Linked DNA regions of Macaca fascicularis. The protein of the gene in region 1 purifies or fractionates together with the protein of each later gene. This does not show direct contact. Links are inferred from orthologs where the notes say so. Each region holds a gene or a part of one and is shown in the gene's direction. Other genes may lie near its edges. The genes, in order: KEAP1, IKBKB and MAP1LC3A.

The links.
Region 2: the proteins of KEAP1 (region 1) and IKBKB purify together in Homo sapiens (affinity purification with western blotting; 7 studies listed by BioGRID and IntAct, with this or other methods). This does not show direct contact. The link is inferred for Macaca fascicularis from reciprocal best matches to the Homo sapiens genes KEAP1 and IKBKB.
Region 3: the proteins of KEAP1 (region 1) and MAP1LC3A purify together in Homo sapiens (affinity purification with mass spectrometry; 3 studies listed by BioGRID and IntAct, with this or other methods). This does not show direct contact. The link is inferred for Macaca fascicularis from reciprocal best matches to the Homo sapiens genes KEAP1 and MAP1LC3A.

Annotation. Positions count from the first base shown.
Region 1 is NC_088393.1:11,056,709-11,066,977, reverse strand, and holds the start of KEAP1 (kelch-like ECH-associated protein 1), read left to right. Parts: upstream 1-5,183; 5' UTR 5,184-5,622; intron 5,623-5,986; exon of another isoform or gene 5,987-6,017; intron 6,018-8,621; 5' UTR 8,622-8,668; coding exon 8,669-9,307; intron 9,308-10,269. UniProt on the Homo sapiens protein: Substrate-specific adapter of a BCR (BTB-CUL3-RBX1) E3 ubiquitin ligase complex that regulates the response to oxidative stress by targeting NFE2L2/NRF2 for ubiquitination.
Region 2 is NC_088382.1:45,783,807-45,794,122, forward strand, and holds the start of IKBKB (inhibitor of nuclear factor kappa-B kinase subunit beta), read left to right. Parts: upstream 1-4,826; 5' UTR 4,827-5,184; intron 5,185-5,610; 5' UTR 5,611-5,628; coding exon 5,629-5,733; intron 5,734-7,525; exon of another isoform or gene 7,526-7,647; intron 7,648-10,316.
Region 3 is NC_088384.1:90,596,184-90,605,672, forward strand, and holds MAP1LC3A (microtubule-associated protein 1 light chain 3 alpha), read left to right. Parts: upstream 1-3,499; 5' UTR 3,500-3,650; coding exon 3,651-3,711; intron 3,712-4,019; coding exon 4,020-4,075; intron 4,076-4,158; coding exon 4,159-4,265; intron 4,266-4,534; coding exon 4,535-4,697; 3' UTR 4,698-5,135; downstream 5,136-9,489. Other genes in the region: PIGU (phosphatidylinositol glycan anchor biosynthesis class U protein), read right to left, coding at 5,647-5,760. UniProt on the Homo sapiens protein: Ubiquitin-like modifier involved in formation of autophagosomal vacuoles (autophagosomes). While LC3s are involved in elongation of the phagophore membrane, the GABARAP/GATE-16 subfamily is essential for a later stage in autophagosome maturation.

The DNA of each region.
Region 1 (10,269 bases):
AGCAGGTTGGGTGAGGTAGCTCACACCTGTAATCCCAACCCTTTGGGAGACCGAGGCAGGTGGATCAACTGAGACCAGGAGTTCAAGACCAGCATGGCCAACATGTTGAAACCCCTCTTCTACTAAAACTACAAAAAGTATCCGGGTGTGGTGGCACACATCTGTAATTCCAGCTACTCGGGAGGCTGGGGCAGGAGAATCGCTTGAACCCAGGAGGCAGAGGTTGCAGTGAGCAAGGAGATCGCACCACTGCACTCCAGCCTGTCTCAAAAAAAAAAAAAAAGAAAAGAAAGAAAAGAGAGAGAGCACTCTCTGGTGTGGTCTTCCTATAAGGACATTAATCCCATCATGAGGTTCCCACCTTCATGACCTCATCTAGACCTAATCACTTCCCAAAGGCCTCACTTCCAAATACCATCCCATTGAGGGTTAGGGCTACAACACATGAAAAGGGGGTACGGGCGCATAATTCGGTCCATAGCACTTCTTTTTTTTTTTTTTTTGAGACAGAGTTTTGCTCTTATTGCCCAGGCTGGAGTGCAGTGGCCCGATCTCGGCTCACTGCAACCTCCACCTCCTGGGTTCAAGTGATTCTTCTGCCTCAGCCTCCTGAGTAGCTGGGATTACAGGCATGTGCCACCATGCCCCACTAATTTTGTATTTTTAGTATAGATGAGGTTTCACCATGTTGGTCAGGCTGGTCTCGAACTCCTGATCTCAGGTGATCTGCCCTCCTCGGCCTCCCAAAGTGCTGGGATTACTGGCGTGAGTCACCGGGCCTGGCCGTTTTTTTACATTAAAAAAATGGAGGCCTGGTCAGGTACAGTGACTCATGCCTGTAATCCCAGCACTTTGCAGGGCCGAAGCAGGAGGATCACTTGAACCCAGGAGTTTGAGACCAACCTGGGCAACATAGTGAGACACTATCTCTACAAAAAATAAAAAACTTAGCTAAGTGTGGTGGCATACACCTGTAGTCCCAGTTACTTGGGAGACTGAGGCAGGAGGATCACTTGAGCCAGGAGTTCGAGGCTGCAATGAGCTGTGATTGCACTGCTGCATACCAGCCTGGGTGATAGCAAGACCCTGTTAAAAAAAAAAAAAAAAAAAAAAAAAAAAGAAGGCCGGGTGTGGTGGCTCATGCCTGTAATCCCAGCACTTTGGGAGGCCGAGACGGGCGGATCACAAGGTCAGGAGATCAAGACCATCCTGGCTAACATGGTGAAACCCCGCCTCTACTAAAAATACAAAAAAAAATTAGCTGGGCAAGGTGGCGGGCGCCTGTAGTCCCAGCTACTCTGGAGGCTGAGGCAGGAGAATGGCGTCAACCCAGGAGGCGGAGCTTGCAGTGAGCCGAGATCACGCCACTGCACTCCAGCCTGGGCGACAGAGCCAGACTCTGTCTCAAAAAAAAAAAAATAATAATAAGTGGGGCATGGTGGCTTACACCTGTAATCCCAGAACTCTGGGAGGCCAAGTAGGGAGGATTGCTTGAGCCCAGGAGTTCGAGATCAGCCTGGGCAACATGGTGAAGCCCCAGCTCTACAAAAGAAAGAAAAAAAAGCAGGGGAAAAGAAAAAGTTAGCTGGGTGTGGTAGTGAGTGACTGTAGTCTCAGCTACTTGGGAGGCTGGGGCAGCAGGATCACTTGAGCCCAGGAGGTCAAGGCTGAAGTGAGCTATGATTGTGCCACCGCACTCCAGCCTGGGTGACAGAGCAAGACCCTGTCTCAAAAAAAAGATAAATAAATAAAATAAAAGAGGAGTCCGGGTGAGGTGGCTCACGTCAGTAATCCCAGCACTTTGGGAAGCCGAGGCAGGCGAATCACGAGGTCGGGAGTTCAAGACCAGACTGACCAACATGGTGAAACGCTGTCCCTACTAAAAATACAAAAAATTAGCCGGGCGTGGTGGCTCAAGCCTGTAATCCTAGCTGCTCGGGAGGCTGAGGTAGGAGAATAGCTTGAACCTGGGACTTGGAGGTTGCAGCAAGCTGAGATCGCACCACTGCACACCAGCCTGGGTGACAGTATGATACTCCGTCTCCAAAAAAAAAAAAAAAAAAAAAAAAAAAGAAAGAAAAAGAGAAAAGAAAAAATAGAAGATCTAGGTACATATCCATGCAGTAAATGTGTTGCTCCTTTTAACTGGCTGCATAGTATTTCTTAGCAAGGAAGTGCCACCACTGATTAAGCCAGGACTCTACAGAGGGACATGTGAATGGGATCCAGTCTTTTTGCCATGATATGCATTATAATGCAATAAATGTGTGTGCACATGCTTCCTCCTGTATGTGTGCGAGTGCACCTTGGATAAATCTCTACAAGCACCTGGCTCACCGGACCTGTAGGTTTGATTTTGAGAGATATTAGAAAGGTTGTTTTCTGAAACGTGCCAGGAGGGTGCTGGTTACAACCTTGGCCACTCAACGTCTTCACGGACTATCTGGGGCGCCCCCCTGAGGAGCTGTCTGGAACTGCAGACTGCAGCTACACGCAGCTACACGCAGCTACACGCAGCTACACGCAGCTACACGCAGCTACACGCAGCAAGGATTTCGGGTAGCCGGGTAACTCTAACATAGCCCTACACGTGATTCCTTCCAGAACCTGAGCCAGGACGTTCAGTTTTTCAAATTCACCCTGGAGGCTCCAGAGACCTAGAGTTTCCATTTATTATTCACTTACATGGCGAAACCCCATCTTTTTTTTTTTTTTCCCCTTTTGAGAGGGAGTCTCTCTCTGTTGTTCAGCCTGGAGTGCAATGGCAGGATTTCGGCTCACTGCAACCTCTGCCTACCCACCACTACACCCGGTTGATTTTTTGTATTTAGTAGAGACGGGGGGGGGGGGGGGGGGGTCTCACCATGTTGGTCAGGCTGGTCTCGAACTCCTGACCTCAGGTGATCCACCCGTCTTGGCCTACCAAAGTGCTGGGATTACAAGCATGAGCCACCGCGCCTGGCCTCTCTATCTTTTTAAAGTAATGATAATTTAGATGACATTTAGACGAATTCTTTTCTTTTTTTGAGAGGGAGTCTCACTCTGTTGCCCAGGCTGGGGTGTGGTGGCGCGATCTCTGCTCACTGTAACCTCTGCCTCCCGGGTTCAAGCAGTTATCTGCTTTAGCCTCCTGAGTAGCTGGGATTACAGGCGCCCGCCACCACGCCCTGCTATTTTTCGTATTTTTAGTAGACATGGGGTTTCACCATGTTGGCCAGGCTGGTCTTGAACTCCTGACCTCGTGATCCACCTGCCTCGGCCCCCAAAGCGCTGGGATTACAGGCGTGAGCCACCGCACCCAGCCTAGATGAATTCTTTAAAATAAACTTACAGGCCGGGCGCGGTGGCTCAAGCCTCTAATCCTAGCACTTTGGGAGGCCGAGACGGGCGGATCACGAGGTCAGGAGATCGAGACCATCCTGGCTAACACGGTGAAACCCCGTCTCTACTAAAAATACAAAAAATTAGCCGGGCGAGGTGGCGGGCGCCTGTAGTCCCAGCTACACGGGAGGCTGAGGCAGGAGAATGGCGTAAACCCGGGAGGCGGAGCTTGCAGTGAGCTGAGATCCGGCCACTGCACTCCAGCCCGGGCGACAGAGCGAGACTCCGTCTCAACAACAAAAATAAATAAATAAATAAAATAAAATAAAATAAAATAAAATAAAATAAACTTACATACATTTATTTAAAAGTTAATGTTACATGATGAACGGTGTACATGACAAATCAGTATCCCCAGTCATGAAAAATGGCAATGGAATGGTTTCTATCTCTTGGGCGCTAGTATTCACACTTAGGTTTATGTTATTTTATTTATTTATTTATTCATTTTGAGTCTGAGTCTCGCTCTGTCGCCTAGGCTGGAATGCAGTGGCGCGATCTCGGCTCACTGCACGCTCTGTCTCCCGGGTTCACGCCATTCTCCTGCCTCAGACTCCCGTGTAGTTGAGACTACAGGCGCCCGCCAACACGCCCGGCTAGTTTTTTTTTTTTTTATTTTTAGTAGAGACAGGGTTTCATAGTCTTAGCCAGGATGGTCTCGATCTCCTGACCTCATGACCCGCCCACCTCGGTCTCCCAAAATGCTGGGATTACAGGCATGAGCCACCGCGCCCGGCCCCGCATTTAGTCTTAATGATAATCTGGTAGATAGGTGCTATTATATTACTACCTTTTACAGAGAGGAAACTGAACCACAGAGAACTAAGTAAGCGCCTACTGGCACTGAACTGGCAAGAGGCAGATTCGGGGTTTGAACCCCCCCTAAAGACGGGTGCCACACGCCTTTTGATAGGAAGTAAATCAAAAATAAAGACAAGGAAGGCCGAGCGTGGTGGCTCACGCCTGTAATCCCAACACTTTGGGAGGTAGAGGTGGGCGGATCACGAGATCAGGAGTTCGAAACCAGCCTGGCCAACATGGTGAAACCCCATCGGTACTAAAAATACAAAAAATTAGCTGGGCATGGTGGCGGGCACCTGTAATCCCAGCTACTCGGGAGGCTGAGGCAGAAGAATTGTTTGAACCTGGGAGGCAGAGGTTGCAGTGAGCCAAGATCAAGCTACTACACTCCAGCCCAGGTGACAGTGCAAGACTCCGTCTCAATTAAAAACACACACACGCACACACGCGCACACACACACGGAAAACCCAGGGCCTGGACCCAACGCCTCACACCTATAATCCCAGAACTTTGGGAGGTCGATGGAGGATCTCTTAAACCCAGGTGTTCAAGACCAGCCTGGGCAACATCGCGAGACCCCCGTCTCTACAGAAAAAAAAAAAAAAAAAAACCTAAAAATTGGCCGGTTGTGGTGGCGCGTGTCTGTGGTCCCAGCTACTCAGGAGGCTGAGGTGGGAGGATCGCTTGAGGGCAGGAGCTCGAGGCTGCAGTGAGCCGCGATGGCGTTACTGCACTCCAGCCTGGGCGTGCAGATCCGAGCGAGACCTTGTCTCTAACGGAAAAGAGAGAGAGAGAGAGAGAGAGAGAAAGGAAAACAAGGAAGGAAGGAAGGAAAGAAGGAAAGCAAGAAGGAAGGAAGGAAGGAAGGAAGGCAGGCAGGCAGGCAGACAGGCAGACCCAGCGAGGTAGACAATTTTCCCTAGATCCTGTGGCCGCCAGACCACGAGGCAGGCGCTGTGCGTCGTTAAAAGAATAGCAGGTGGTGGCGCGCAGCCCCGCCAGGAGACGTCCGGCGAGGAAACCAGGAGATGGAAGAGACAGTGAGAAGGGGGGCCAGGCTGTGCGTCCCCGCCCGATGCCCCACTCCTCGCCGACGGGCGCCGGGCACCTGCGGGAAGGGCGGGAGAATCGCCGCTCCTTCCCCGCCGCGCCCTCTCCGCCCTCTCCCCGCCTCCTTTTCGGGCGTCCCGAGGCCTCTCCCCAACCGACAACCGAGACCCCGCAGGCCACGCAGCCCTGGCGCCGAGGCCCCCCGACGGCGGAGGCGCCCGCGGGTCTCCTACAGCCAAGGTAAGGCAGGAATCTTCCGGACCCGGCCGCGGACCCCCGGGCTTCCCGGAAGCGCAGTGTGCGGGTGGCATCACCGTACCCGGAGCCCCTGCGCGCCCCGGACATCCCCACCCCGAGGGACCCCCTACGGAGGCGACCCGGTGGCCGAGGTGAGCGCTCCGGCAGCAGCGACGGGGAGGGGTGTCCACCCCATCCCCGGTGCGGGCCGGGACGCGCGGGTCTGGAACTCGGGGTTCAGACTCCCCGCGACTCGGACCACGCGGCTGAGCGCGCCCAGGGCCGCGTGCCCCCGCCCCGCGGCCATGCTGGCAGCAGTGGTGGCCGCGCAGCTCGGCGACCGCAGGCGTGGGCGGGGGCTGGGGAGCGGCCCTCCGCGGTCCCTACCGCCCGAGGCCAGGGCCCGGGGACTTTTATTGTGACAAGGCGGGCGCCCGGCTCTGCTTAGTCATGGTGACCTGCGCGCGCTCCGCGCCTCCCCCACGCGCAGCGATGGAGGCGCCGAGGCTCGGCAGTGGAGGCGGAGCCGGAGCGCGGCCATGGCGGGGTGAGTGAGGCGGGATGTACCCGGGCTGCGGGCATCGCGGGCCGCGAGCGCCCCTGCGGTCGTGCCCGGAGACCAGGAAACCGGGCGCCACGGCTCAGGGAGCCTCCGAGTTCCCCACCAGGACTCGGAGGGCCAGGAGGGCGAGGCCTGGGTCCAATCTTTTTGTTGGACGGCGCAACTCTCGGGGTGGCCCGGGAGCGGCGGAAACCGAGCGAGAGAACCCGGAGGCGTGGAGCAGACGGAGGCCCGGGGCCTCCGAGGCGTTGGGGGGCTCAATCTGCGTTCTGGGATTGGCAGCCGAGACGCCGCGGCGGGGTCACTTCCTCGCCTCTCTGGGCCTGGTGGCGGCTCAGGAGGGGCATGCGCAGTCGCCCACTTGTCGCTTTGTAGGGTGGGGGAAGTGCCCGGTGCCCAAGGGGCATCGTTGACCGATTGGCCAAAGACCAAGACGCAAGCCCAGGGCCTTGGCACCGGAGGGGGGGCCGAGTGGCACCCAGGGAGGGTGGAGAAGGCCGCTCTGGCAGGCACGGTGGCACGGGCATTTAGCCAACCACCCGTGTACTGACCCCTGCGCAGTGCCAGGCCCCAGGCGGGAGGCACAGGAGAGGGTTGGCCCGACGCCAACCTACATAGGGTTCCCTGCCATTTGCGGCGCTGGGGCCGGGGACGAGAGACAGTCGATCAACAGACAAGCAAAGGAGGTCATTTCAGTTCCTGACAAGCTCAGTGATGACAATAGAACAGGGAAGAGGGGACTCTGAGTGGAGCCCCAGAAAGAGGGGAGTGAGAACTTGCAGATCCACTTGTGGGGAACCACTTGGAGATCCCCCACTCCTTTCAAAACATAACTCATGTCTGCGCACAGCAGCCTATGCCTGTAATCCCAGCATTTTGGGAGGTCGAGGAGGGGGATCACTTGAGACCAGGAGGTCGAGACCACCCTGGCCAATATGGTGAAACCCCATCTCTACTAAAAATACAAAAAATTAGCCCATGGTGGTGGCTGGTGCCTGTAATCCCAGCTGCTCAGGAGGCCAAGGTATGAGAATATCCTTTTTTTTTTTTTTTTGAGACCAAGTCTTGTTCTGTTGCCCAAGCTGGAGTGCAGTGGCGCGATCTCTGCTCACTGCAAGCTCCGCCTCCCGGGTTCACACCATTCTCCTGCCTCAGCCTCCCGTGTAGCTGGGACTACAGGCGCCCGCCGCCATGCCCGGCTAATTTTTTGTATTTTTTTAGTAGAGACGAGGTTTCACCGTGTTAGCCAGAATGGTCTCCATCTCCTGACCTCGTGATCCGCCCACCTCGGCCTCCCAAAGTGCTGGGATTACAGGCGTGAGCCACCGCGCGGGACTGAGAATATCTTGAACCTGGAAGGCAGAGGTTGCAGTGAGCCAAGATCGCACCACTGTACTCCAGCCTGGGCAACAGAGCGAGACTCTGTCTCGAAAAACAAAACACAAAACACATAACTCATCTCCTGGCCCTCCAGGCTCCAGGGGTTTCCATGAAACCCTTCCTTAAGTCCTTAGCTCTCACTGCACTCCTTCTCAATTCTCCAGATTGACTGTCTCAGCCTCTGAGCCACTGCACTTGCTATTTCCTCTGCCTGGAAAACTACTCCACAGCCTCCCACTTTATGATAATTTTCATCCTTGTCTCAGCTCTAACCTCACCTTCTCAAAGAAGCTTGGCCTGTCAGATTTTTAAAAACTGCACCCAGGGCCAGGCACGGTGGCTTACGCCTGTAATGCCAGCACTTTGGGAGGCCAAGGCAGGCGGATCACTTGAGGTCAGGAGTTTGAGACCAGCCTGGCCAACATGGTGAAACCCAGTCTCTACTAAAAATACAAAAACTAGCTGGGCGTGGTGGTGGGCGCCTGTAGTCCTAGCTACTCGGGAGGCTGAGGCAGGAGGATCGCTTGAACCCGGGAGGCAGAGGTTGCAGTGAGCCAAGATCGAGCCACTGCACTCCAGCCTGGGTGACAGAGTGAGACTCCATCTCAAAAAAAAAAAAAAAACTGTACCTGATTCTCACATTGTCACAATGCTGTTGTAATTTTCTTCATGAAGCTGATTTTCCAGGTCTTGCTTATTTTAGTTTATGATTGTTCCTCCCCACAGGTGTCAGCTCCAGCAGGTAGGATTTTTGTGTGTTTTGCTCACTGCTGTGTCTTCAGCACCCAGATCAGTGCCTGGCATACAGTAGGTGCCCAACAAATGGTGAGGCGAATGAAGGAATGAGCCCGACATGCTCTAGAAAGGGAAAGGCCACCAGATTACTGAAACAGAGTGATCAAAGGGAAGAGGTGGCAGGGGCTAATTGCGTAGGGCTTTGCAGGCTGTTGAGGAGTTCAGTTTTACTAGGTACTGTGGGAGGCATTGGAGGATCCAGAGCAGGGGAGAGACATGACCTCATCTATGTTTTAAGATGGGCTCTTGGGCTGGTCAGGTCAGGGGGATGTTTGCAAATTTGCAAATGGACTCTGCTTCACCTACTCTGCAGGAAAACTGACCTAGGAATTGCTTTATCTTACAAAAGGAGACCCTGCAGGTGCTGGCCCAGCCCCAACCCGTGCCCCCTGCCCTGTGCTCTCTCCCCTCCAGGCCCCTGAGTGCCAGAGGTGGTGGTGTTGCTTATCTTCTGGAACCCCATGCAGCCAGATCCCAAGCCTAGCAGGGCTGGGGCCTGCAGCCGATTCCTGCCCCTGCGGTCACAGTGCCCTGAGGGGTCAGGGGACGCGGTGATGTATGCCTCCACTGAGTGCAAGGCGGAGGTGACGCCCTCCCAGCATGGCAACCGCACCTTCAGCTATACCCTGGAGGATCATACCAAACAGGCGTTCGGCATCATGAACGAGTTGCGGCTCAGCCAGCAGCTGTGTGACGTCACACTGCAGGTCAAGTACCAGGACGCGCCTGCCGCCCAGTTCATGGCCCACAAGGTGGTGCTAGCCTCATCCAGCCCCGTCTTCAAGGCCATGTTCACCAATGGACTGCGGGAGCAGGGCATGGAGGTGGTGTCCATTGAGGGTATCCACCCCAAGGTCATGGAACGCCTCATCGAATTCGCCTACACGGCCTCCATCTCCATGGGCGAGAAGTGTGTCCTTCACGTCATGAACGGCGCTGTCATGTACCAGATCGACAGCGTTGTCCGTGCCTGCAGTGACTTCCTAGTGCAGCAGCTGGACCCCAGCAATGCCATCGGCATCGCCAACTTCGCCGAGCAGATTGGCTGTGTGGAGTTGCACCAGCGTGCCCGGGAGTATATCTACATGCATTTCGGGGAGGTGAGCGGGGAGGTGGGGCTGGGGGCAGTGTCAGGAGAAGGACCAGGGATGGATGAGTGCTCATCACTGTCTCCCCTTGAGATGTGAAGGCAGGAACCTGGAGGAAAAGGAGGTTCTGGGCTGGGCACGGTGGTGTAGTCCCCACAGTTTGGGGGGCCTAGGTGGGGGGATTGCTTGAAGCCAAAAGTTCAAGACCAACCCGGGCAACATAATGAGACCCTGTCTCTAAACAAACAAACAAATAAACAAAAAACAACTGGGGGCCGGGCGCGGTGGCTCAAGCCTGTAATCCCAGCACTTTGGGAGGCCGAGGCGGGTGGATCACCTGAGAATGGGAGTTTGAGACCAGACTGACCAACATGGAGAAACCCCGTCTCTACTACAAATACAAAAAAATTAGCCGGGTATGGTGGTGCATGCCTGTAATGTCAGCTAGTCGGGAGGCTGAGGCAGGAGAATCACTTGAACCCAGGAGGCGGAGGTTGCTGTGAGCCAAGATCGCACCATTGCACTCCAGCCTGGGCAACGAGAGCGAAACTCAGTCTAAAAAAAAACAAAAAAAAAAAACTGAGGCCAGCCGTGGTGGCTCACGCCTGTAATCCCAGCATTTTGGGAGGCTGAGGTGGGTGGATCAGCTGAGGTAAGGAGTTCAAGACCAGCCTGGCCAACATAGCGAAAACCCATCTCTACTAAAAATATAAAAATTCGCCAGGCCTGGTGGTGCGCGCCTGTAGTCCCAGCTGCTCAGGAGGCTGAGGCAGGAGAATCACTTGAACCCGAGAGGCGGAGGTTGCAGTGAGCCGAGATCAAGCCACTGCACTCACTCCAGCCTGCGCGACAGAGCGAGACTCAGTTTCAAAAAAAAAAAAAAAAATTAAAAAACAACTGGGGTTCTGAGTTCCTTGTCTACGCGTGTGGGGACACTGGTGAACAGCTGGGGAAGGTGAGGTCTTCATGTGTCT
Region 2 (10,316 bases), on another chromosome or scaffold:
GTAAGAAGACAGTTATCTTTGACTTACTCTGGGAACAAGATTTCATTTTAAATTTAACAGTGCTCAGAAACCTTATCCTTATCACTAGTACTGTCAGAAGCATTTGAACCAGAGCAACTCCATCTTGAATAGGAGCTGGGTAAAATGAGGCTGAGATCTACTGGGTTGCATTCTCAGATGGTTAAGGCATTCTAAGTCACAGGATGAGATAGGAGGTCAGCACAAGATATAGGTCATAAAGACCCTGCAGATAAAACAGGTTTCAGTGAAGAAGCCGGCTTTAACCCACCAAAACCAAGATGGCCACGAGAGTGACCTCTGGTTGTCCTCACTGTTATACTCCCACCAGCGCCATGACAATTTACAAATGCCATGGTAATGTCAGGAAGTTACCCTATACGGTCTAAAAAAGGGAGGCATGAATAATCCACCCCTTGTTTAGCGTATCATCAAGAAATAAACATAAAAATGGGCAACCAGCAGCCCTGGGGGGCTGCTCTGTCTGCGGAGTAGCCGTTCTGTTATTCCTTTACTTTCTTAATAAACTTGCTTTCACTTTACTGACTCACCCTGAATTCTTTCTTGCACCAGATCCAAGAACCCTCTCTTGGGGTCTGGATCAGGACCCCTTTCCTATAACGGTACTGTACTGTGGTACTAATTACTGCAGACCAAATTCGTGTGTGATTTGATATTGCCTGGCCTTTGTCTGTCCTTACTTGATGGCTCTCTGTGGGTCTTAAAAACCCAGTAAGATTCTAAGTGCTTCTGATGAGATCTCATTCCATTGCTTGGATCCCCTGGGTCAGTAATGCCCTGGGCTGAGCTAGGCACTCTGGCTGGTCAGTATTTCTTGATTTCCCTATAGCACAGCTAAATAGCACAGTCAGCCTCAAAGCAGGAAGAAAAAGGGACCTTTTTCTGCTGAATCTGAAAATATCTTTTGTAAACTGTCTGCTCATGTCTCCAGAGGAGGACAGAAACCAGATGCAGGCAGAGATATCTAAACATGTCTTATCTGGATAGAAAATTGAGCTTAAGATAATAAATATCTTGGAATATGATAAAACCCAGAGGCCCCTTCCTGGGCCATGATTAACTGAAGAAAAAAAAGTCTAGTAATACGTGACCTTATCAGAGAGATTTATGTTCCGTTGAAAGCCAAGTTATTTTGAGCTGAGCAAAATGAAGATTCAAATTACAGGAGCGCAGAGTAAACTTTTGGCATATTAGCGGATGTCTCGGTAAGTTTCTCAGGGACAGTGTTTTTCAGAGATGATAGGATTAAAGAGAACTTTTTTATGACATGGTACTGGAAATAGACTCTCCACAGTGCCCAGCACATACAGATGCTGAATAATTTTTTTTTCTTTTTTTTTTGAGACGGAGTTTCCCTCATCGCCCAGGCTAGAGTGCAATGGCACGATCTCAGCTCACAGTAACCTCTGCTTTCTGGGTTCAAGCGATTCTCCTACCTCAGCCTCCCAAGTAGCTTGGATTATAGGCACGCACCAGCATGCCCAGCTAATTTTTTTTTTTTTTTTGTATTTTTAGTAGAGATGGGGTTTCACCATGTCAGCCAGGAAGGTCTTGATCTCCTGACCTCATGATCCACCCACCTCGGCCTCCAAAGTGCTGGCATTACAGGTGTAAGCCACTGTGCCTGGCCTAATTTTTGTATTTTTAGTAGAGACGGGGTTTCACTATGTTGGCCAGGCTAGTCTTGAACTCATGACCTCAGGTGATCTGCCTGCCTCGGCCTCCCAAAATGCTGGGATTACAGGGGTGAGTCACTGCACCCGGCCTAATTTTTTTTTTTTTTTCCCGAGATGGAGTCTAGCTCTGTTGCCCATGCTATAGTGCACTGGTGCGATCTCCACTTACTGCAACCTCCAACTCCTGGGTTCGAGCAATTCTTCTGCCTCAGTCTCCCAAGTAGCTGGGATTACAGGCACTCGCCACCACGCCCAGCTAATTTTTGTATTTTTCATAGAGACAGGGTTTCACCATGTTGGCCAGGCTGGTCTCAAATTCCTGACTTCAAGTGATCTGCCTACCTCAGCCTCCCAAAGTGCTGGGATTACAGGCATGAGCCACCTCACCTGGCCAATACATATTTTATTTAAAAAAGTTACTTATTAAGCAAACACTTATATTGCATTTAGACAATGCAGGCACTATTCTACTTGTGTTACAACTATTTACTCATGTTCCTGTTGCTTCCAGCCTTGAGGCTGAGCTTGCCATTTAGCTGGGAGTAATCAAGAAATGCCAGGTCAGGAGCGGTGGCTCACACCTGTAATCCCTGCACTTTAGGAGGCCAAGGTGGGAGGATTGCTTTGAGGCCAGGAGTTTGAGCCAACTCTGAGCAACATAGTGAGACCTCGTCTCAACAAAATAAAATTTAAAAATTAGCTGGTCATGGTGGCGTGTGCCTGTAATCCCAGGTAGTGGGGAGGCTAAGGTGGGAGGACCCCTTGAACCCAGGAGGTCAAGGCTGCAGTGAGCATCCTGCCACTACACTCCAAAGTGGGCGATAGAGAGAGGCCCTGTCAAGAAAGAAAAAATAAAGAAAAGGAAAGGAAAGGAAGAAAGAAAGGGAAGGGGAGGGGAGGGGAAGGGAAGAGAGGAGAGGGGAGGGGAAGGGAGGAAAGGAAAGGAAAGAAGAAAGGAAGGAGAAAGAAAGAGAAAGAGAAAGAAAGAGAGAAAGGAAGGAAGGAAAGGGAAGGGAAGGAAAGAAAAGAAAGAAACTAAGTAGCCAGGACGGGAAGAGAAGGGAAGGGGAGGGGAGGGGAGGGGGGAGGAGGAAGGCAGGCAGGCAGGCATGCATGCAGGAAGGAAAGAAGCAAGGAAAAGAGAGAACGAGAAAGAGAAAGAAAAAGAGAAAGGAGAGGAGAGAAGAGGGGAGGGGAGGAAAGGGAAAGGAAAGAAAGGAAGGAGGAAAGGTAGGGAAGGGAAGGGGAAAGGGAAGGGGAAGGGGAAGGGAGAAAGAAACTAAGTAGCCTGGAAGGGAGGGGAGGGGATGGGAGGGAGGGGAGGGGGAAGGAAGGAAGGAAGGAAGGAAGGAAGGAAGGAAGGAAGGAAGGAAGGAAGGAAGGAAGGAAAAGGAAAGGAGAGAGAGAAAGAAAAAGAAAGAGGAGAGGGGAGGGGAGGTGAGGGGAGGGGAGGGGGAGGGAAAAGAAACAGAGCAGCCAGCTTGCCTAGCACAGCCCTGGACACCACTGACCCCTATGTTTGGGTTGAGATCTGTCCCTGAGTTAACTTCAACCCCAGGGCTGTCAGGCACTGCTGCTATCAATATCTCATTTGTCCCTCACAACAACTCTGGGGTGGCCTCCTTTCTATGACTTTCTGTGAGCCCGCCTGTCCCCCTGCTATTACAGTGAAGCAGATGAAACTGCTGATCTTTGTCACTGATGTTTTGGCTGTTTTCAATTTCCAAAAAATGACAATTAAATGCAATTCAACCTAATACTGCCTAAATTTTAAAAGAGGAAATAGATGCTCAGAGTGTTTAACAAACCAGCCCCAGTGCCTCAGAGGTAGTCAACAGCAGTATCTGAATTCAAAATCCAGTTTGCCTCCCTCTGAACTTAACATGCTACTTTTAACCACCCATTTAGAACCCGGGAACCAGTTGCTAGAGTTTGAGTATCAGTTCATCTACGTAGCAGCCCTGTGCCTTGGAAATAATAATAATGCAGACCAGGTGCGGTGGCTTACACCTGTAATTCCAACACTTTGGGAGGTCCAGGCGGCTGGATCCCTTGAGCCCAGGAGTTCGAGACTAGCCTGGGCAACTCAGTGAGTGAGACCCCCGCCACCAGGTATGGCGGCCATGCACCTGTAGTCAGGAGAATCATTTGAGCACAAGAGTTGGAGGCTGCAGTGAGCTGTGATCACACCACTGCACTCCAGCCTGGGTGACAGAGCGAAATAATAATAATAATAATAAATAATAATAATAATAATAATAATAATGCAGTATTGTCCAATTTACAGGGTTGCCCTGAGGATTGAGTAAGGAAATCTAAGTTCAGAGATTTAGAACAGAGCCCTGCACTGTGTAAGCACTCTATAGATGTGAGCTATTATTATCATCTTCAGGTTCCTTTGGTAGTTTTTTCCTGCTTGAATAAAATATAGCAACACACACACACACCTCCTTTGTCCACTAATGTAATGCCACAAAACGGAGGAACTCAGCAGGGAGGACATTCTGACTCCAAGCAGAAGGAGATGAATGATGAACCTTAGGCTGTGCGCCTCGCGGTTTCCTCCTGTCACTGGGGGTGGGGCTGCAGTTTGGCTTCACACTTCTAGGTCTTTTCTTATTTTTAAGGGGGCGGGGGCTGTCACCTCTGAGGAGTCAGCTGTGATTGATCCTTCTCCACACCCAGCCAAGCACCCCCCACAGACAGGGGAGCGCCCGCAGTAGGGCGGGCGGCAAGGGCAGTTATAGCCAACAGTCCCTAAATCATCCCAGCAGGGGCGCGGGAAATTCCACCGAGGTGAAAGCCTAGGCGGCCGGGTGAGGAAATCCCCATGCCCGGGCCCAGAAACGGCTCCAGGTGGAAGTCACTTGTCTAAAGAGAACAGGGCGTAACGGGGGTCATTTCAGGGCTGTTCTTTTAAATCGGTGAGCACAGTCTGTCCACTTTCCCTCAGTTTATTCTAGAGGCCACACGCCACCCCCGCCCCCGGGAAGTCGCCCGGTTGCGGGTCCCGGGACAGGCCCACCTGGCCCGCGGCGCTCGCAGCATCCGGACCTGGTCAGCCTCGCGCCCCTCGCGGCCACTTTAAGAGCGGCCGCGGCCCACGTGCTCAGTGATGTCAGAGCAGGAAGTGTTTGAGGAAGTCGCGCCGCGCTGCCCGCGTTAAGATTCCCGCATTTTAATGTTTTCAGAGGGGTATCAGAGCCCAGGGTCCGGCCGCCCCAGCCCCGCCTCCCCCGCCCCGGGGAGCCCTCCCCCTGCCCCGCGTCCCTGCCGACAGGTGAGTCCCCCTCGCGGGTGCGGCCCGGGTGCCACCTGCAGGCCCCGCCGCTCCGCTGCCTGCAAGGCCCAGAAGACCCCTCTGTGCCGCTGGAAAGTCGCAGCTTGCGGACTGGGGAGGGTTTCACTCGTGCGGATTGGAGTTCGGGAAGCCGGGAGAAACAGCCCTGGCTGGGATGGCTTCTTGGGGGTGGGTGGCTTTGAGGGAAACCTGCGATTTATGGGAACGTTGTAAAGAAACACGTGACCGAGGGGACGCTCAGAAGTAGGTTCTGTCCCTGCCACCTCGGGCAGAAGGCGGGCAGGCCCGGGCGCCCCTGGTGGAGTCCGCCGGGGATCCCCTCGCTGGGGCAGGGGCGTGGACATCGCCTCCCTCGGTGACTTTCTTCCCTGCCTGATGCCACAGCAACCGGATGGGGGAGGGTGAGAGGGACAAAAGTTTGCCACAAAGTTTGGACAAACCAAACACATTAGTTTCTTTACAAAGTAAAAAACCAGTTGTATTTTTCTTCTCTCCCATTCGAGAGCAGTGGTATCTCTTGCCTTCTCCATCTCTTTGAACTCCATTTTTTTTTCTTAATCCTAACCTTTTTTCCCCATCCCAAATTGCTTACAGAGTTAGCACGACATCAGTATGAGCTGGTCACCTTCCCTGACAACCCAGACATGTGGGGCCTGGGAAATGAAAGAGCGCCTTGGGACAGGGGGATTTGGAAATGTCATCCGATGGCACAATCAGGTAGGCCCTCTGTGCAGCTTGGGGAGGGGTGGGAAGCCAGGCTCCCTCCTCACTGCCTCCACTTTCTCTGATCCTACTGGGCCAAGGGCTCACCTTTGGCTTTGGTCATCTTGGGACAGTGAATAGGGGACTGGGAAGAGGGCTTCAGGACTTCTGAGCTGACTCCAGGTTAGTGGTCTCCAAGCTTTATTGACTATGTCACCTAAATAAACAGTAAAATAAAGATAAGCTCTTAGTCTGTATTTTATATATATATATGGTTACAGTAGAATATCATGTACTAATATATACTGATATATGTTATAAAACATACAGAAATAGGAAAATTTAAAGGATGAGGATAATTAAATAGTTTAAAATATTTTAATTCCTTGAAGCCAGGAGTTCAAGAACAGCCTGGGCAACATAGCAAGACCTCGTCTCTACAAAAAAGTTTTAAAAATTAGGCAGCCAGCTGGGCGTGGTGGCTTACACCTGTAATCTCAGCACTTTGGGAGGCTGAGGCAGGCGGATCACGTGGTCAGGAGATAGAGACCATCTTGGCTAACACCGTGAAACCCCATCTCTACTAAAAATACAAAGAATTAGCCAGGCTTGGTGGGACGTGCCTGTAGTCCCAGCTACTTGGGAGGCTGAGGCAGGAGAATCGCTTGAACCCAGGAGGCGGAGGTTGCAGTGAGCGGAGATTGCGCTGCTGCACTCCAGCCTGGGCAACAGATTGAGACTCCATCTCAAAAAAAAAAAAAAAAAAAAAAAAAAAAATTAGGCAGCCATGGTGCGTACCTGTAGTCCCACTACATTGGAGGCTGATGTGGGAGGATTTCTTGCCCAGGAGTTTGAGGCTGTAGTGAGCTATGATTGTGCCACTGCACTCTAGCCTGGGTGACAGAGGGAGACCTTGTTTCAAAACCATTTTTTAGAAATTATTTAAAATGTCAGGTACATTGGCTCACGCCTGTAATCCCAGCACTTTGGGAGGCCTAGGAGGGAGGATCACTTGAGGTCAGGAGTTTGAGACCAGCCTGGCCAACATGGTGAAACCTCATCTCTACTAAAAATACAAAATTAGCTGCTGTGGTGGTACGTGCCTGTAACTTCAGCTACTCAGGAGGCTGAGGCAGGAGAATCGCTTGAACCCAGGAGGCGGAGGTTTCAGTGAGCTGAGACAGTGTCACTGCATTCCAGCCTGGGCTACAAAATGAGACCCTGTCTCAAAAAAAAAAAAAAGTATTTATAATATTTGCCAATTATGATGTCTTCCCAGTATTGCACGGTACAAAATAAGCAGATCCACATGAAAGTGAGAATTATTTTAATTTTGTAGAGATGGGGTCTTGCTATGTTGCCCAGGCTTGTCTCGAACTCGCGTCCTCAGGCAGTCTTCCCGCCTTTGCCTCCCAAAATGTTGGGATTACAGGCCTGAGCCATGGGACATGGCCTCAGCTGAGGTTTTTTTTTTTTTATTTTTTGTAGTGATGGTGGTCTCTCAATGTCCAGGCTAGTCTAGAATCCCTGGCCTCAAGTGATCTTCCTGCCTTGGCCTCTCAAAGTGCTGGGATTACAGCCATGAGTCATTGAACCTGGCCTGTTTTTATTTTTAATTGACACATAATAATTGTTACATATTTATGGGGGACAGTGTGATATTTTGACACCTAATGTGTAATGATCAAATCAGGGTAATTGGCATATTCATCACTTGAAACACTTATCCTTTTTGTTGGAAACAGTCAAAATTCTTTCTTCTGGCTATTTTGAAATACACAATAATTTTTTTTTTTTTTTCCCGGAGATGGAGTCTAGCACTGTTGCCCAGGCTGGAGTGCAGTGGTGCGATCTTGGCTCACTGCAACCTCCGCCTCTCGAGTTCAAGTGATTATCCTGCCTCAGCCTCCTGAGTACCTGGAATTACAGGTGTGCACCACCATGCCCGGCTAATTATTGTATTTTTAGTAGAAATGGGGTTTAACCATGTTGGCTGGGCTGGTCTCGAACTCCTGACCTCAGGTGTTCCGCCCACCTCAGCTGCCCAAAGTGCTTGGAATACAAGCGTGAGCCACTGCGTCCGGCCTGAAATGTATAATAAAGTTTTATTCACTGTAGTCACCCTGTTGTTCTATAGAATACTATAACTTATTCTACCTAACTATAATTTTGTACCCATTAACCAGTCCCTCCCTATTCCCCTCCACACCCCAGCCCCCACACCCTCACCCTTTCCTGCCTCTGGTGACCACTGTTCTACTTTCTACTTCTGTGAGATCAGTCTTTTGTTGTTGTTGTTGTGTTTTTGAGATGGAGTTTTGCTCTTGTCATCCAGGCTGGAGTGCAATGGCGCGATCTTGGCTCACTGCAACCTCTGCCTCCCAGGTTCAAGCAATTCTCCTGCCTCAGACTCCCGAGTAGCTGAGATTACAGGTGCCTGCCACCACACCTGGCTAATTTTTGTATTTTTAGTAGAGATGGGGTTTCACCATGTTGGCCAGGCTGGTCTTGAACTCCTGAACTTAGGTGATCCCCCCCCGCCTCAGCCTGCCAAAGTATTGGGATTACAGGTGTGAACCACCGAGGCTGGCTGAGATCAGTTTTTTTTTTTTTTGAGATGGAGTCTCGCTCTGTTGCCCAAGCTGAAGTGCAGTGGCACAATCTCAGCTCACTGCAACCGGCATATCCTGGGTTCAAGTGATTCTCCAGTCTCAGCCTCCCAAGTAGCTGTGATTACAGCCGTGCACCACCACACCTGGCTAATTTTTGTGTTTTTAGTAGAGATAGGGTTTCACCATGTTGGCCAGGCTGGTCTCGAACTCCTGACTTCAGGCGATCTGCCTGCCTCGGCCTCCCAAAATGCTGGGATTACAGGCATGAGCCACCATGCCTGGCCTTTTTTTTTTTTTAATTTTTAATTTCTTTGGAGACAGGGTCTCAATCTGTCATCCAGGCTGAGAGCAGTGGTGCCATCATGGGTCACTGCAGCCTTGACCTCCTGGGCTCAAATGATCCTTCTGCCTCAACCTCCTGAGTAGCTGGGACTGCAGGTATGTGTCACCACGCCCGGCTGATTTTTTGTGTTTTTGTAGATAGGAGGTCTCTGTTGCCCAGGCTGGTCTCGAATTCCTGGACACAAGTGATCCTCCCACCTCAGCCTCTCAAAGTGCTGGTAATCCCAGGTGTCAGCCTACTGATTTTAACCAACTGAGATCTGTTTTTTATTAGCTCCCACAGATGAGTGAGAACATGCGGTATTTACCTCTCTGGGCCTGGCTTAATTCCCTTAATGTAATGCCCTCCAGGCTCATCCATGTTGCCACAGATGACAGGACTTCGTTCTTTTTTATGGCTGAATAAGAGAGTCCATTGTGTCTGTGTACTACATTTTCTTTATTCATTTGTTCATTGATGGACATTAGGTTGACATTTAGGTTGATTTCATATTTTGGCCATTGTGAATAGTGCTGCAGTAAACATGAGGGTGCCAATATCTCTTTGATAAACTGATTTCCTTTCCTTTGGATAGATACCCACTAGTGGGATTGCTGGATCATATGGTAATTCTATTTATAGTTTTTCTTTTTTTTTTGAGACGGAGGCTGGTCTCAGGCTCTGTCACCCAGGCTGGAGTGCAGTGACATGATCTCGGCTCACTGCAACCTCTGCCTCCTGGGTTCAAGCAGTTCTCCTGCTTCAGCCTCCAAGTAGCTGGGATTACAGGTGTGTGCCACCACACCCGGCTAATTTTTATGTTTTTAGTAGAGACAGGGTTTTGCCATTTTGGCCAGGCTGGTCTCGAACTCCTGACCTCAGGTGATCTGCCTGCCTCAGCCTCTCAACCTGTTGAAACTAAGGCGTGAGCCACTGCGCTAGCCTTATTTGTAGTTTTTCAAGGAACCGCCATACTATTTTCCATAATGGCTGTGCTAATTTACATTCCCACCAATAGTGTATAGAGTTTCCCTTTCTCCACATCCTTGCCTTCATTTGTTCTTTTTTGTCTTTCTGATAATAGCCATTTTAACTGTGGTGAGATGACATCTCATTGTGGTTTTGATTTGCATTTGTCTGATGATTAGTGATATTGAACATTTTATCATATACTTGTTGACCATCTGTAAGTCTTTGAGAAATTCCTCTTCAAATCATTTGCCCATTTTAAAAATTGGATGATTTATTATTTTGCTGTTGAGTTGTTTGAGTTCCTTGCATATTCTTGATATTAATCCCTTGTTGGATGGATAGTTTGCAAACAATTTCTCCTATTTCATAGGTTGTCTCCACAGGTTCCATAGGTTTACTCTGTTTTTTCTTTTGCCGTGCAGAAGCTTTTTAGTTTGATGTAATCTCATTTGTCTACTTTTGCCTCTGTTAACTGTGCTTATCCATAAAATCTTTTCCCAGACCCTGAAGCACTTCCCATGTTTTCTTTTTTTTTTTTTTTTTTTTTTGAGACAGTCTCACGCTCAGCTGAGACAGGTGTGATCTGGGGTCACTGCAGCCTCCATCTCCTGGGTTCAAGCGATTCTCCTGCCTCAGCCTCCTGAGTAGCTGGGATTACAGGCAGCGCCATCATGACCGGCTAATTTTTTTTT
Region 3 (9,489 bases), on another chromosome or scaffold:
GCTAATATTGTATTTTTAGTACAGATGGGGTTTCACGAGGTTAGCCAGGCTGGTCTCGAACTCCTGACCTCAGGTGATCCACCCACCTCGACCTCCCAAAGTGCTGGGATTACAGGTGTGAGCCACCATGCCTGGCCTGTTTTCAGTATTTTTTGTTGTTTTTCTGAGACAGGGCCTCTGTCACTCAAACGATCCTCCCACTTCAGCTTCCTGAATAGTTGGGACTATAGCTGTGTGCCACCAAAGCCAGCTAATTTTTTTCTTTTCTTTTCTTTTTTTTGAGACAGTCTCACTCTTGTCACACAGGCTGGAGTGCAGTGGCGCAATCTCGGCTCACTGAAACCTCTGCCTCCTGGATTCAAGCAATTCTTGTGCCTCAGCCTCCCAAGTAGCTGAGATTACAGGATGTGCCACCACACCTAGCTAACTTCTATATTTTTAATAGAGACGGGGTTTTGCCATGTTGATCAGGCTGGTCTTGAGCTCCTGGCCTCAAATGATCTGCCCACCTCAGCCTCCCAAAGGGTTGGGATTACAGGCATGAGTCACTGCGCCTGGCCTAATTTTCTCATTTTTGTAGAAACCGGGTCTCACTATGTGGCCCAGGCTGGTCTCAAACTTCTGGGCTCAAGTGATTCTCCAACCTGGGCCTCCCAAAGTGCTGGGATTACACTATTACTCCTTTTTAAATTTCTTTGACACTCTGCTCATTGATTCTCTGTATTTATTATCTAAGTAATACATCTATGTAATAAGGCTATAAATCTGAATTTTTTTTTTAAGAAATGGGTCTTATTTTGTCACCAAGGCTGGAATGCAGAGGTGCAATCACAGCTCACTGCTGCCTTGAACTCTTGGGCTCAAGCAATTTTCCAGTCTGGGCCTCCCAAAGTGCTGGGATTACAGGTTTGAGCCACCACATCCAGCCTGGTATGGGCCCCCCTCCCAAGTTTTCTTAATATATGTATCCTCATTTTTTTTTAATCTAAATAATTTTTACTTATATATGAGTTCATATTTAGAACAGGTTTCAATTTCCACACAGTTGGAGCTTACATGGTTTTTGCCTGTGGCCAAAGAATATGGTTGAAACTGATTTGATATCTGTTGAGATTTGTCGTGCACCCTAGTAGTTGGGTCATTTTTGTAAATGTTCCTTCCGTGATTGAAAGTAATGTGTTGGTCCCACACAGGTCTGAAATTTAAATTTTAAAACTTAAAAAATTAACGTGTCAGGTTCAGGATTCTATTGGGCTTCACTGATCAGGATTAGCAACTGTATTAACATCCTCTATGTCCTTAGTTTTTTTGGTTGTTCCGTTTATTAGTTATTCAAATAGGTCTTATGTCTCCCACTATGATGGAGGACTTGGCAATTTCTCCTTGTATTCATATATATATATAGAGAGAGAGCAACATAGACAGAGTCTATATATAGACAGAGTCTTGCTTTGTCGCCCAGGCTGGAGGGCAGTGGCGCAATCTCGGCTCACTGCAACCTCCGCCTAGCAGGTTCAAGCAATTCTTGTGCCTCAGCCACCTGAGTAGTTGCGATGACAGGCGTGCACCACCACGCCCGGCTAATTTTTGTACTTTTAGTAGAGACAGAGTTTGCCACGTTGGCCAGGCTGGTCTTAAATTCCTGGCCTCAAGTGATCCGCCCACCTCGGCCTCCCAAAGTGCTGGGATTACTGGCATGAGCCACTGCACCCAGCCTATTTTCAGCCTTAAAAACCCTGGAACATAGAAGTTCAGAACTTCCCTCTCTTCACAGAGCTACTCGCATCATTTCATGGTGATCCTTTGTCCCCAATGTCTTCTGCCTGAAGGCCTATTTTGTCTGAGTGAATTTCTATAGGTACATATTTTGGTTAGTTTTTCTCTAGTACACCTTTTTCCATCATTTTACTTTTGGTGCCCTTAGATTTTAAATGTCCTCTTGTAAATAGCATAGAGCTGCATTTTATTTTTTCTTGGCCAATCTGGTCATCTGTGTTTTAAGAGGTGAACGTAAACCACATTTTCTACCTCTGGTTTTGTACTATATATTTACCATCCCTTTTACTTTGCTTCCTTTTTCTCCTTTTCTGGCGTCCATTATAGTTTGTATTCTTTTGATGATCCCTCTTAAATATCTGAAATACACACCTGACTTTACAAAGCCAGACAATGCTTAGTCTCTTTATCCCCCTCTCAAATCGAACTTCCTAAAACACCTTAACTCTGATTGCCCTCTCAGTCTCCCATGTTCTTCTGTCTCATGCATCTTGTTTCTGTGGCCCACAGATTATCCATTATTCATGTTGCATATTAAATACTTGTTTAGATTTACTGACATGTTTACTAATTTGCTCACCATTTTTCCATCTAATTTCTTCCTTTTGGGTTCCATGTCTTTGATACTGAAGTACATTCTTTAAAAATTATTTTGGCGGCTGGGCGCAGTGGCTCACGCCTGTAATCCCAGCACTTTGGGAGGCTGAGGCGGGCGCATCACGAGGTCAGGAGATCAAGACCATCCTGGCCAACATGGTGAAACCCCATCTCTACTAAAAACATAAAAAGTAGCTAGGCGTGGTGGCAGGCGCCTAATAATCCCAGCTCCTTAGGAGGCTGACTGAGGCAGGAGAATCGCTTGAACCAGGGAGGCGGAGGTTGCAGTAAGCTGAGATCGCACCACTCTAGCCTGGCGCAAGAACGAGACTCCCTTTCAAAAAAAAAAAAAGATGTTGATCTTCGGTCTGTGCCTTCTGCTCTGGATTTTAAGCATCATTTCTGGCAGCTCTCATTCAGGAACTGCCTCTGCAGGTCTTTCAGTGCTCGCCTGTGGAGCTCTGCTCCGGCCTGCGAGTTCTCCTGGCGTTGCCATCCGTGGCCTTTTCCTTTTAATTCTCCATCACCTGTCCTCTGGTAAGCTGCTTGCTATCAGCCTCCAGGTCCACGATTTCTCTTCTGTTGTCCTGCTCTGCCTTCTTGCCACATCCTCTGAGACCTGAATTTCGATAGCTCTACTCTTCAATTATATTATTCTTTTTCAAACCTGGGCGTTCATTTCTAGCGTCTTGCTCTATCCTGTGTCTGACTGTGCCTCCCGCACCTTCTCCCTTCTCTTGCCCTGAGCCCCCTTGAAGGCGCCGGGCCTTTGGCTCCCGCTGTTTCCCACGGTGCCCAGAACCGCGGGTCAGTCCTGACACAGACTCGGTGAGGGCAGGAAGTGGTGCCACGGGGCTGCAGCCTGGCCCACCCGCTCCATCGGCCCAGGGCGGCCCCACCGCTCTCCCGGCCTCACCAGAGTCGGGGCCACGGGAGAGGCTCCCGCGCTGCTCATGACGTCACGGGACTGTGACGCGCCCAGGAGCCCCGCCCCTTGTGTCCCGGGCCGGGGACCCAGGCTCTCTGCGCCGTGACGTCACGGGTCCGGGCGGGCGGGTTGTGCGTCGGCCCAATGGGAGCTGCGCGCCGGCCTCCCCTTTAAGGAATGTTGTGACCTGACGTCACCGGGCGAGTTACCTCCCGCAGCCGCCGCCGCCGTGCTCAGCGCGAGCGCCGGAGCCCTTGAGCGCGAGGCACGGAGCCCCCGGAGCCCCCAAACCGCAGCCACATCTCCGCGCCCCAGAGCCCCGGCCTGCGCGCCCAGCCGGGCCCGCGCGATGCCCTCCGACCGGCCTTTCAAACAGCGGCGGAGCTTCGGTGAGGCCCGGCAGGCGAGCTGTGAGCTCGGGGTAGGGGTGCCGGGGAGGGGGGGTGCCCGGCCGACCCAGACTGCCGCAGGTGACGTCAGCCCCGTGACGTCAGGCTTCGGCTGGACCCTCGGGCTGGGAGGCTGGCTCCGGCCTGGGCGGGGGCTGCCTGCTTCCCCACCACGATAGGTGCCAGGGGCTGTGGGGCCTGACGGCCCCGGGGGCGGGGGCTGGAGCTGGGGCGTGGCCGGGGGCCGCCCCTTGGGGACAGGCAGGCGGAGACGTGGGGAGGACCTGGGCCGGGCCGACCCGGCCTCACGGTCTGGCCGCTGTCCGCAGCCGACCGCTGTAAGGAGGTACAGCAGATCCGCGACCAGCACCCCAGCAAAATCCCGGTAAGTCCTGCGCCCCCAGCCCTGCCCCGGCCCCGCCTCGCGCGTCCCCGACACAACCCCCTGCCCGCCCGCCCTGCTCCCAGGTGATCATCGAGCGCTACAAGGGTGAGAAGCAGCTGCCCGTCCTGGACAAGACCAAGTTTCTGGTCCCGGACCATGTCAACATGAGCGAGTTGGTCAAGATCATCCGGTGCGTGGGCAGCCGCTGCCAGGTGGTGGCTTGGGTCGGGAAGGGAGACGGGTTCCCGCCGAGAAGGGGTCAGGGGTGATGGGACCGGTGGTGGACCCCTGTTCTGGGGCGGCTGGAAAGGTCAAGGTCGGGGCTGCAGTCGGTGCCGGGTCAGAGGTGACAGGTGGGGTGAGGATGGGTGTAAAAGGCTGGGAATCATTCTGGGGGTCAGGGCTACGTTGCCCCGTAGCCAAGCCCCTTACAGCCACATACTCTCCCGCCTGCCTCAGGCGCCGCCTGCAGCTGAACCCCACGCAGGCCTTCTTCCTGCTGGTGAACCAGCACAGCATGGTGAGCGTGTCCACGCCCATCGCGGACATCTACGAGCAGGAGAAAGACGAGGACGGCTTCCTCTACATGGTCTACGCTTCCCAGGAAACCTTCGGCTTCTGAGCCAGCAGTAGGGGGGTCGGCCTGGGAGTGGGGGGGGCCCGGTCAGGCCCTGCCCAGAGAGCTCCTGGTTCCTGAACTGAGCTGCCTCTGCCGTGGTGGGCTGGGCAGGCATGTGCCCCCCTAGTCAGAGGGCAACCCACCTACTCTGCCCCTGGGTGGATCCTGGGCCGGTTGTGTTAGGGTTGTCCCTCTGGGTGCTGGCTGGGATGGGGGAGGGTTGGGAGCAGCCCCCAGCACCCCGCTGTGTGGTTCATCTTTTTTTTAGGCCCCTGCCTGTCTGCCCATCTGCCCCTCACCCACCCAAGGCTCTGCCCACGCCTGGACCTGCCCACCCCTGAAAGACTGGCCCCTGGCTCCCCGCCCCTCGGTCTCCACATGGTGTATGGATCTGTGGTCATTGTCCCTCTGCAGAATAAAGATTGCTCAGGCCTGCCTGGCCCTGTGCCTCCAGCTGCTTGCTTGGGAGTGGGAAGGGTGCTGGTAGGGCTGTCTGCACCATCCCCGGGCTCTGGCGCACAGACTTGTGTTCTGTGGCCTCAGTGCTTGCTGTGGAAACCCACACCTGTGTGTAGTGTTCAGAACATTAGGGGCCACCCCTCTAGGAGTGCAATGCAGATGTGGTCTCAGGGTAGACTTCATAACAAAAAACATTTATTAAGTAGCTACAACCTAACAAGCCCTGCTCACCTGCCTCTTCTCCTTCCTGCCTGGGAGGGGGCTCCTTGGTGTGCAGAGCCACGAAGTGGGGGGGTCCAAGTTGGGGAGCTTCCAGTTCTTCCCCACAGGCCTTACTATCAGCCATGGGTCTCTTGGTACCAGAGACTTGTGACCCTGGACTCGAACCTCTTCTGCCCGAGCACTCGCCTGCTGGCAACTCTGACTGGAGGGCTTGGCCCAGCTTCTGGCCCCTCAGCCCCCTGAGGTCCACAAAGCCCTGTGCCAGCCAGGCCTACTTGAGCACAAGCATGGCCTCTGTGCCGTCCTTGGCGGTCAAGTAGAGGCCGTGTGTGAGGTAGTACTCCCGCCGCAGGAAGGCATAGAAGTAATCAGAGATGAGCAGGATCTGGGGGGAGAGAGAGGATATGAGGTGCTGCAGGGTATCTCCCCGTGAGCCCAGGATCCCTGAACTGCTAGCATGTGTTGGAAGACAGGAGAGCCCCTGCCTGGCTCTGGATCACAATCACTGGAGAGGCCCTGCCCAGGGCCCCCACCTCAGGGCCCAAACTTGACCCTGCAAGGTCTGTTGGCCTCTCAGAAGCTGTCCAGACTTCCCCGGCCCCCACCCATGGTCTACACCTCCATCACAGGCTTTGGTCTCAAATGCCAGCCTGGTGCCTGTGCAGCCAGAGGCCTCTGCCCCCTCTTCCCACAGCCACTTCCACCCCAGCCAGGTCCACATCAAACTCCTCACCTTCCCTCTGTCAAATACACTTCTCCCACTGGGCACCCATGCCCCCATCTTCCAGCCAAGTGCCCAGGCCATAAAATTGCCCTGACACTTCTCTCATACATCAAGCCACCATGACCTGTCAATTCTACCCCTTAAACTCAAATCCACCCTTTCGATCCAGCCCCACAGTCACTACTCTGGACAGAGCCACTGTCATCTCCTAAACAACAGCAAAGCTTGGTCCCTGGGCTCCCTGCTCTCAAACCCACGCCCACCCCATTCTTCCTGGCAGCCAGAGGGAGCTTTTCAAAACCTACATCTGATGGTGTTACTTCCAGTCTTCAAATCCTCCAAAGGCTTCCCATGCCTTAGGGGGAAGCTCGAACTCCCTGGTGCTCTGAGACCTTGCTAGGGTCCCTGCCCACCCTCTCCTGGCTCCACCTCACCCCACTGCAGGATCCTTACTGTTTCTTCTGCATGGAACGTTCTCTCCCCGTTCATCTAGTCGACAGCTGCTTACGCTTCAGGTCTCAGGATCACTTGCCCCCCAGATTAGGTCTTGGCCCCACTAATCTCTACTCAATAACAGACTCATCCAAAGCACAATTTTTCCTTCAGCTGACAGCCTGATTGTGCCTCCTCCCCTGGCCCAGGGCCTCCATCAGGGCAGGGTCTTCGAATGGTTCTGTCACTATGGTATCTCTGTGCCCAGCTCAGTCTGTCTGTCCCATTCCGGGCCACACGCAGAATCAAAGGGGGCCTAGAAGCTCAGCCCACTGTCTCTTCAAGGAGGCCCAGAAAGGAACAGGGATTTGCCGAGGGCCCTGTACACCAGACCCAGAGTCTGCGGTCTCGGTCAGCCCAAGCTTCCCAAGACCACTGGTCCCTGGAGCAGGTTGGGCAGGGCCCAGCCTCAGAGAAGGATGAGCGGATGGGCTCACACTGCAGACACTGCAGCTCTCAGGCACCTGGAGACCTCAGAGGATTGGCACCAACCACATGGCACAGATGGGGAGACTAAGGCACAGAGCACTTGGCTATGGTCTTGGGGCAAGACAGGTTGAGCTAAGCCTGGGATCTAGACCTCCAGACCCTGTCCTGGGCAGCTTCTCACTCACCTGAAGGTAACACAACAGCAGCTAAAGAGAGATCAGAGGCGCCTGGAGTTCAAGAAGGTGTCCTGTCACCAGCAGCTCTAATGGCCTCAGGACAAGTACCTGCCATTCTATCACCACAGAAGCCCATCTGGAAGGTTTAACAATCCTCATCTTCAACAGATGGGCAAACTGAGACTCAAAGTGTTCAATGGTTGGCCTAAGGCTGCACCTGGAGCACTGGACTAATGGCCATGGACCCAGAAAGGTGGTCTGCCTGGGGCCCAGATCCCTGAGGAGCACCAGATTGGTCAGTGTCAGAAAAGCAGACAGAGCTCAGGCAGCCCCTGAGGCCCGGCCCCCAGCTGCCCAGCTGGCAGCTCCAGGCTGGCCCATTGGGGGACAGCGATCACAGCAAAGGCTGACCTCATACCCTGCAGCCCTTTCTCACCCAGGCCCGAGATGCCATCTGGGCAGGAGGAGCCCAAAGCAGGGACTGAGCTCAGAGGCTGATCCCTGAACCAGGTCAGATGAGGGGCAGGTGCAGTCACAATCCGCAACAATCAAAACGAAGCAACTCCATGTCACACAATAATCATCTGGACAAGCAGGAGGAAGAAAAAGATGAGGTTATTAGATTGGACCAGATGAAACTGCCATTTTTGCAGATAAAAAAATGGTTGAATACAGGCAATTTCATATGATCCAACCTAATACAAAACGGAAAAGGACACACAGAAGAGTAGGCATATTATTTAGAAACACCAGCAGAAATAACAGGAAGAATTTAGGTAGCTATTCTTTTCCCCTATAAACCTGAACTCTGCAAACTACATACATGTATTCCACTGACAAAAATAAAACTTTGGCCAGGCGCAGTGGCTCACGCCTGTAATCCCACCAGTTTCGGAGGCCAAGGCGGGCAGATCACCTGAGGTCGGGAGTTCGAGACCAGTCTGACCAACATGGAGAAACCCCATCTCTACTAAAAATACAAAATTAGCTGGGCGTGGTGGTGCATGCCTGTAATCCCAGCTACTCAGGAGGCTGAGGCAGGAGAATCGTTTGAACCCGGGAGGCGGAGATGTGCCACTGCACTCCAGCCTGGGCAATAAGAGCGAAACTCCGTCTCAAAAATAAAAAATAAAACTTCAATTAAATCAGCCAATACATCAATGAATCAATACATCAATGCGGGGAGGAGATAAATATTCCTTCCAGAAGAATTCCAAACAATGTAGATAGTTATACCCCCTCCCAAAGAAGGAGCTTAATTCTTGTTCACTCTGCATCCCCTAAGCCTCGGGTGGTCTAGACTCGGTTACTCACTTCCTGCTGAGGATCAGAGAAAGGGAAAAGAGTAACTTCACAGTGGAGAAACCTGGCCAACACTATCTTAACCACGTGGTGGAGGTTAACATCAGCTTGAAATCACATGGCTAGCATGTACCCCCAATAGATGTGATTCCTTCTAAAAACCCACAACCACAGGATAATCCTAAGAAAAGCATCAGACAAACCTAAACTGGTGGACAAACCTAAATTGGGTGACATTCTACGAGATGCCTGGCTGGTGGTCCTCAACTGTCAAGGTCATGACAAGTCAGGAAAGACTAAAAACAAAAGCAGAAGACACTGAGGAGGTGTGACCTTAAGTGTAACGTGGACCCTTCAATGGGGTCCTGGCAGAGAAAGAGGATGTGACTGCAAAAATAGGAAATCCAAATCCATTCTAGTGTTTCAGACTAATAGTAATATATCAGGGTGTCTTAGTTTTGACAAACATATCATGGTAACATATAAAATGTTAACAACCTAGGCAACTAGGTGGGGGCTTACAGGAACTCTATCTCTCCAACTTTCCTATAAATCTAAAGTGATTCTAAAATAAAAAGTTTATTTAAAAAATAAATGAACTAGCCGGGAATGGTGGCTTGTGCCTGTAATTCTAGCTACTCGAGAAGCCGAGGCAAAGGGATCACTTAAGCCCAGGAGGTCAACCTGGGTGTCAGAGCAAAACCCCAGCTCTTCAAACAGGAAAAAAATTAACAGCAATGACCTACTGTTATATGTAACAAACTCAAAATATTTTGCTGAGTGAAAGAGGGCTTTGGCAAATGTACACATAAGATTTGCACTTTTCCCTGTATAATAAATTTTACATAAGAAAAATGTAAATAAATAGTGAAGTCTAGTTAATGATACACATGCTGAAATATTTAGCAGGAAATGTACTGATGTCTGCATTTCAATTTGAAATACATTAAAAAAGTAAGATGGACTGAGGGATGATGGGAGAAGTACAGGA